Linked DNA regions of Sus scrofa. The protein of the gene in region 1 purifies or fractionates together with the protein of each later gene. This does not show direct contact. Links are inferred from orthologs where the notes say so. Each region holds a gene or a part of one and is shown in the gene's direction. Other genes may lie near its edges.

The links.
Region 2: the proteins of CPSF6 (region 1) and NCBP3 purify together in Homo sapiens (co-immunoprecipitation; 3 studies listed by BioGRID and IntAct, with this or other methods). This does not show direct contact. The link is inferred for Sus scrofa from reciprocal best matches to the Homo sapiens genes CPSF6 and NCBP3.

Annotation. Positions count from the first base shown.
Region 1 is NC_010447.5:33,524,526-33,528,467, forward strand, and holds the start of CPSF6 (cleavage and polyadenylation specificity factor subunit 6), read left to right. Parts: upstream 1-1,142; 5' UTR 1,143-1,238; coding exon 1,239-1,298; intron 1,299-3,942. UniProt on the Homo sapiens protein: Component of the cleavage factor Im (CFIm) complex that functions as an activator of the pre-mRNA 3'-end cleavage and polyadenylation processing required for the maturation of pre-mRNA into functional mRNAs.
Region 2 is NC_010454.4:49,887,760-49,891,259, reverse strand, and holds part of NCBP3 (nuclear cap-binding protein subunit 3), read left to right. Parts: intron 1-28; coding exon 29-183; intron 184-1,924; coding exon 1,925-2,086; intron 2,087-3,316; coding exon 3,317-3,500. UniProt on the Homo sapiens protein: Associates with NCBP1/CBP80 to form an alternative cap-binding complex (CBC) which plays a key role in mRNA export. NCBP3 serves as adapter protein linking the capped RNAs (m7GpppG-capped RNA) to NCBP1/CBP80.

The DNA of each region.
Region 1 (3,942 bases):
GTCCTCACTTACCTGAGGGCATATATTCCAAGATCCTTAGTGGATGCCTGAAATTGTGGATAGTACTAAACTCTACATATACTGTTTTTTCCTCTATTAACAGGTACGGTGTAAGAGGTGCTAAACAGAGAGATGATTCACTTCCAGGGCTGGTTGGAGTGGGATGGCTAGAGATTTCAAGACTCTACTCACAGAGTTCCCATCCTGGCTCAGTGGTTAATGAATCTGACTAGGAATCATGAGGTTGCAGGTTCAATCCCTGGCTTTCCGCAGTGGGTTAAGGATCTGAACCTTCTTTAAGGAGGGACTACTACATTCATTGGCAGCAAATGCTTTCCTTATTAACCCGAGACTCGGATACACTATTTAGCTTCTTTAGGCCTCAGTTACCTCTCTCATCTGTAAAATTAGATATTTGGACCTAATGACACCTTTTCCAGTTCCCTCTCCGATATTCTGTGATTCTAAGAGGCCCCTCGCTTCAACATACCTCTACCTTACTGTGGTGGTGGGAAGGGGAGGGGGGACGAACCCCAGAAGGACTGCCTTCGTGTTAACGGCATTTCAATTACTCCAGAGAAAACCAACTGCAGATCAAAGGAGGAAAAAATGAAAGGCAATGAAGGGAGGAAGAAGAGATTAAAGAAGAGGAGGGAGATACCAATGGAAAGATAAACAGCATGCAAATAACCTAAGTAGCATGCAAATAACTCAAGATAACCTTCTAGGGTACCTAGTTTTTACAAGGCAACCCTATCTCAGTAGCCCTCTGAAGATACAGGGGTAAGACACTGCTCTCTTCCCAAGGCGCTCACAGAAAGCGGGGTTACACTTCGTATTTCATCTTGGACCTAAAACTTCCACCTCTCTAAAAACCCTGGCTGTGAGAAATATAAGAAAAGCCGACAAATGCAAATATTACCAAACGTTTGAGAGTGCCAGAGCTCCGAGACAACAGTCTCTGGAAACAAGTGGGACCACCCCCTGCCCCGCCCCCCGAGCCTAACCCAGACACACAAAAGAAACCGCCGGTGCACTGGGAGCTGCAGATTCCGCTCTCGGCGGGCCGAGCCGGCAGCGGCTGAGGAGCCCGGCGCCCCCGGCCGCCCCCGCCTCGGCCCTTGGGCCTCGGAAGTGACGCAGCGCGCCCCGCCCCCGCCGCTAGATCCGCTGCTGCTGCCGCGGCTGGCGGACCTGCAGGAGGCGGCGGCGGCGGCGGCGGCCGAGGCCGAGGGAAGATGGCGGACGGTGTGGACCACATAGACATTTACGCGGATGTGGGCGAAGAGTTCAACCAGGTACGTGAGGGCCCGGGCTCACGCCGCCGAGTTGGGCGGCGCTACGGGCGGGAAGAGGACTCGGGGCCCGCCGCGGGCCGCGAGCCGGCGTGGCTGCAGACCGTGCGCCCTTGGCGCCTGTGGGCCGCGCCGCCCGACCCCGGCGCGGCGCCCCCCTTGCCCGTCGTTCTACCGCGTCGTTTCACGGGCCGCGGGCGCGGCGACCTGCCACGGGGCTCCGAGCGCGGACGCCGGCCGCCGTGCAGCCACCTCCTGCCCCTCCCGCGCCTCCGCCTCGCTCTCCATTGTTGGCGGCGGCCGGCGGGCGCTTCCCGCCGCGCTAGGCCCGGGCGGCAGGACGGCGTGTGCGCGGCGGGGAGAACGGCGGCCCCGGCGCCCCCTCCCCCGCCGCCGGGGCGAGGAGGAAGCCCGGCGGGGCGCGCGCCGGCCGCCGCCTCGCCCCCAGCCCTGCCGCTCGGACTCCGATTCCTCCAGTCGCTCCATTTTGTCTGCCTTTCGGTGCACGGTCGCCTCATGGAAGGCCGCGTTCACGGCCCTTTGTATCCCGCGCGCCCTGCTTCCTGGGCTCTCCTGCTCGCGTTTGCGACAGGTTTCGGCGTGGTGCCTTCCTCCTCCTCCCTTCACTCTTTAGGAAGGAGGCTAAGGTGCGGGCACGTTTGCAACAAGTCCTTTGACTTGGGATCGTGTGTGAAAGTCGGTGGCGCTGGCCCTGCCCCGGTGGTCGAGGGCTTACGGTGCCTTTGAGGCCCAGCTGCTCTTGGCCTTTGTGATGAAAATACCAGTTAGATCGGTGGCTCGGGCCAAAAGGAAGACTTGGAAGCGCGATGGTTGGATGGAATAAAAAAGGTAGCTCACCAAGAGATCAGAGTTGTGATTAAAGAATTTCACACGCATTTCATATGGTATAGTTTTAAAATAAAGGTTGTAGCAATGAACCGATTTCCAAAAGCAAAATGTTTAGTGTCCTCCGAGGAGTTAAGAGAGGCCAGAGAAAGTGAGAATGCAAGGTTTTTTTTCTTGTATCGCAGGCCGCAGTTGCCTAGAAGGACTAGCCGCAGGAGCTGTGATGTCTGATGTTGAGCATCCTTGTAAAAGGTTGTTACTAGAGTAGTGACGTTTAAGCTGTAAACCTACTGTTCACATTTTTACTGCCTTTTATGTAGCAACACATTTTAAAAAAATCAAATTGTGCCCGACTGCAGTGTACGTAAAGGCTTTATTTTTTTCATATTTTCCAAGTCCTTATGAGAAGCTCAGTAAAATTCTACTGGTTAATGTGTTTTTGTGGGTTTCGAAAAAACCCTCTCCATTAAGACTCTTATTTGTGACGCAAGATTTTTTTTTTTTTTTAATAGAGAAAGCTGGAAATCCTTGCAGGTCTTTTTTTGAAGATTGATTGTATCCCTGTTTTAAATATTAGAAAAAAAATTCAGTTAGCTTTAATGTTTCCTATTCCGTTTATATATTTAAATGTAACCCGTTGTAATCAAACGTGAAGTTTGAAAATCTGTCTTCTTTTTATTGTGTTTACATTTTGGATATGTGATTCCTGAGATGTGTCAATGACATTTTAGAAAATTACCTTGAGTGCTACATGGTCAGATTCTAAGCTTTTTTAAGGTCTGTAGACAAAGACTTCTAGGAAATTTCCTTTCCTTTTATTAAATGAGTATAACATTGCATAGAAAAGAGGTCCATATCTGCAAGTAAAGGAACAATTAAGTGTTCAACAGTCTTCGTTAGCTTTCTTACAAGAAAATTTACTGTTTTTCTCCCCATGTTAAAAGAAGAATTGAGCTACACTTTTAGAAGTTGAGCTTTCTTCAGAACCTTTTAATGGAACATTTTTTAAGCTTTGGCATACTTAATTTGGGATGGACATTTCTCTAATCTGTATAGCTGGATGGAGTGATACTTGCTTATCCCTGTGCAGTAACTAGTGCTGACTGAGCAGGAGGTAAGGAGAGATTAAAATTTTGTGGCACCAATGAGGAACTGCTTTATAGGGTTCTTGTAAAAATGTAACTTTTTGTTGACTTGTTCCTATAGCATATGTTTCTCACATAGTTGTATGATTTTACCAATAAAATCTTTGTACTTTTGAATAGGTTAATGGAATTAAATAGAGGCTTTGTTGTTGTTATTGTGCATTGATTGGCCTTTGCAATCTACTGCTTGCTGTGGTAGTTCCTGGTTGAAATATGGCCACAAAAAGATGGTTGGTTGTTTTCAAGGTTTGTCCTTCATTTAAAAAAATGTAGGTATCATTGAAATATTTTTCTGAAATCTTGTCAGAATTAGAAGCAACTACAGAATTACTGTGATTGATTTAATTCACTTTCTAATTCGCTGGCAACCTTACTTCTACTGGTTGCTCTAGTAAAGTGACTCTTATTTTGTTGTAGTCGAGTAAAATGTTTTGCTAAATATAATGGGTCATGGCTTATTTTGACTTCTAAACTACTGTAAACATTTAAAAACAACCTTTAATTAAACTGTATTCTCTTAAATTCTTTGTAGTTTATGTATTTTCCATTTTCTTCTGTTTTAAATGGCCATACTTTTATGATCCTTTTTTCCATGTGTGTATTTTGGTAAAGCTCATTATAAACCTGTTGCAGAAAGTGTAAGACATTACATTTTT
Region 2 (3,500 bases), on another chromosome or scaffold:
CCTCCCCCGCCCTTTTTTTTTTTTCAAGGAACTCCATGAGGGCAGACACTCTATCCACAAGCAATATAAAAAACCGAATTGGTAACAAATTACCGCCTGAGAAATTTGCGGATGTCCGACATTTGTTAGATGAAAAACGTCAGCACACACGTCCACGGCCACCAAGCAGCAATACTAAAACAGGTATTGTTCCGTTGTGTTTCTGGACTTCATTCTGAGTTCCAGAAAGGAATTCGGGGCAGGGATAGATTCTTGGATAAAATGTTATAATTTGTGGACCAGTTTAGTTGTGCTGTTAATCACTTCTAAATTTTAGGTTACGCATTGGGATTTTAGGACGTGAAATTTAATCAGACCTTTGCAGTACTGGCTTTCAATATTTTTGTCCCAAACAGTTATTCTACCCTGTATGTCATTGGTGTACTTTATACATAAGGACAGTAGAAATTAAGTTGGGTTGCGGTGTAAATGGTTAAGCATTTGAACTGGTTAGTTTATATGTGCAAACAGGCTTATAGTGAATCCTCGGCCCTGCTCGCTGTGTGCCAGGGCCAGGTGCCAGGAGCGTCAGAGTTCTGCAGGGGGTGCGAACTCATCATCAGAACGCAGATGGAAAGCAGTAGAGCCCCCATTCGGATAATTACACCCAGAGCAGAGGGGGGGACACTGTAAGCGGTGGCCTGTGGGAGCAGAGAGGGGCGGTCGGCCACCTGGGGGAAGATCTCCTGCGGGAGGCTTCTCAGAGGTCGTGGCTGTAGAGCGAGGCCTTGCAGAGGACGTAGGCTCTCAGTTGGCCAACCTGATTTTTTTGAGGTGGGTGGTAACATGATGTTCTCTCTGTTGCAGAAAGAACTTGGTGGCAGGGTAGGGTGCAATAGAGAGTTAAGTAAGAAGCAAGGGCCTGACCTAGGTCAGGGACAGTGGGGACAGGATTGATGGGAACGGCACACCGTGTCAAGGAAGACGACTCGGCCCTGGGAGGTGTGGCAGGAAAGGGAGAGAAGCCAAGGGGCTCAGGCCTGAGCAGCTGGCAGACGGGGACGCTGTTCTCAGAGAGCAGGATGAGTGAAAGGCCAGCACAGCCACTCCTGTCTGCCTTTTTGTTGTGCTGTTCCTGTGAGAGGGAGCTCAGGGGACAGGCAGATTTCCTGGACCGAAGGCGGGGGTGGGAGGCAGTGGTTACAAGACAAACCAATCTCATTTGGGACATACTCCTTTGATCCTTTGCTTTTTGTCAGGCTCATTACATTTATTGTAAAATGTAATAGTTTTATTGAGAACTTCTTATATGTTTAAAGACTGCAGCTTCCACCCTGAGGGAGCTCGCAGTATTTGTTGTTAGTTGAAATGTTTATAAACTATTTGCTCTGCTTAATTCTACTTTACTTATTTATTTGTTTTTTTGTCTTTTTAGGGCCGCACCCATGGCATGTGGAGATTCCCAGGATAGGGGTCGAATGGGAGCTACAGCTGCCCGCAACGTGGGATCTGAGTCTCTTCTTTGACCTAACGCCGGATCCTTAACCCACTAAGCAAGGCCAGGGATCGAACCCATGTCTTCATGGATACCAGTTTGGTTGGTTAACCGCTAAGCCACGACAGGAATTCCATGCTTGATTCTACTTTTAAAAAACAAACACACACACAGAAAGCAGTCTATTCTGTCTCAGAAATTCCTTTCTGGAGCAGTTGGCCTAGATTTTTTTCCCTATTTGAGCCCCTGGGGGTTCTCATTCGAGTTTTGCTGGGGGGGTGGGTCCAGGCTGACTGTGAAGAGGGAAGGCTCTTAGAAGCTTGGTTGTGTCGGGTCCCATGCCTTTACTCGGGGAGATTTGCACCAGGACCTGTAGAGACCTCGGGGTGAGTACAGACAGCAACGCATACGCCTGTGGCCACCGTAGTACTTTGTGTTTTCTTTTTGTAGATATACGCCAGCGATTAGGAAAAAGACCATATTCTCCAGAAAAGCCTTTTAGTAGTAATCCGGTCGTTCGGAGAGAGCCCTTTTCTGATGTCCATAGTAGGCTCGGCGTTCCCAGGCAAGACGTTAAAGGCCTCTACTCGGATACTCGGGAGAAGAAATCAGGTTGGTAAACACTTGAAAGTGATGGGCGTGGGAGTTGGGTCAGGGCAGAGACACCGAGGGCGAGCGTGGAAACACTCGCTGTCAGAAGGCAGGAAAGAGCGTAAGACAAGAATAAATTATTTTTCCTCTTCCGTTATAATCATTGTCATCCACGCCATCATCGTAATGATAACAATGGGAAATACAGAAAATGGAGAAAAAGAAAACCCACCCCTGATTCTTTCTATTTAGCGCATGGTTTCATAGATGCTATTCCAGTCTTTGCCTGTATACATGTCCTGCTCTGTTCCTGCGGCATTTTTTTAAGCTATTTATTTATTTATTTATTTTTGTTTTTTAAGGCCACACCCATGGCATATAGATGTTTCCAGGCTAGGGGGTGGAATCAGCTGTCATCCTACACCACAGCTCACGGCAACACCGGATCCCTGACCCACTGAGCGAGGCCAGGGATCAAACCGAATCCTCGGGGATACTAGTCAGATTCATTTCTGCTGCGCCACAACTGAAACTCCTGTATCATCTTATCATAGTCATTTTTCCACATTGTTGTTGTCTTTACAAGTAAAACTTTAAATTGTCTTAGAGTGTGACTATCCTATGGAATTCAAAACATGTATTTCTCTATTAAATATCAATATTTTTTAAATAATGGAGTTCCCTATTGGCTCCGTGGGTAAAGGATCCAGCTTTGTCACCACTGTGGCTCTAGTCACTACTGTAGTGCGGGTTTGATCCCTGGCCTGGGAACTTCAGCATGCCACAGGTGTGGCCCAAATAAATAAAGTGATAAAGAACAGAACAAAATAAAATTAAAAAAAAAGTAATGAAGAGTGGTCAGAATCTGAAAGTTTACAGAGAGCATGCAGGCCTGTCAGTTTGCCCAAAGTCTTACCTGGGAATGATCTGGAATGGCCCACTCCTGGCAGAATGAAGTTGTGCACAGCATGGGGAGTCTCCCCGGGAGAGGGCAGGTGTAGCATAAGCAGGCTCCCAGGCGATTCTGTGTGGCTAGCGTGGGAAGCACATATCCGCAAGCCGTGAGAGTCTCCTGCTGGGTCCAGTCCCCTCGGTCTACACCGCACCAGAGAAATGAGGCCGTCTGCCCAGGTCTGCATCGTGGTTGCAAGTGCCACAGATCCCCCCGTGTTTCTTGCATGTCAGGTGTTGACAGTAGCCCTGTTTCTCAGCATCGACTACCAGAGCTGAAATGCCTTCTCACCCAAACAGGTAGTTTATGGACTCGCTTAGGATCTGCAACCAAGACCAAAGAAAAGAACACGAAGAAAGTGGATCACAGGACGCCCGGCACTGAGGAGGATGACTCGGAGCTGCAGAGGGCGTGGGGGGCTCTGATTAAGGAGAAAGAACAGTCTCGCCAAAAGAAGAGCCGGTTAGATAACTTACCATCTCT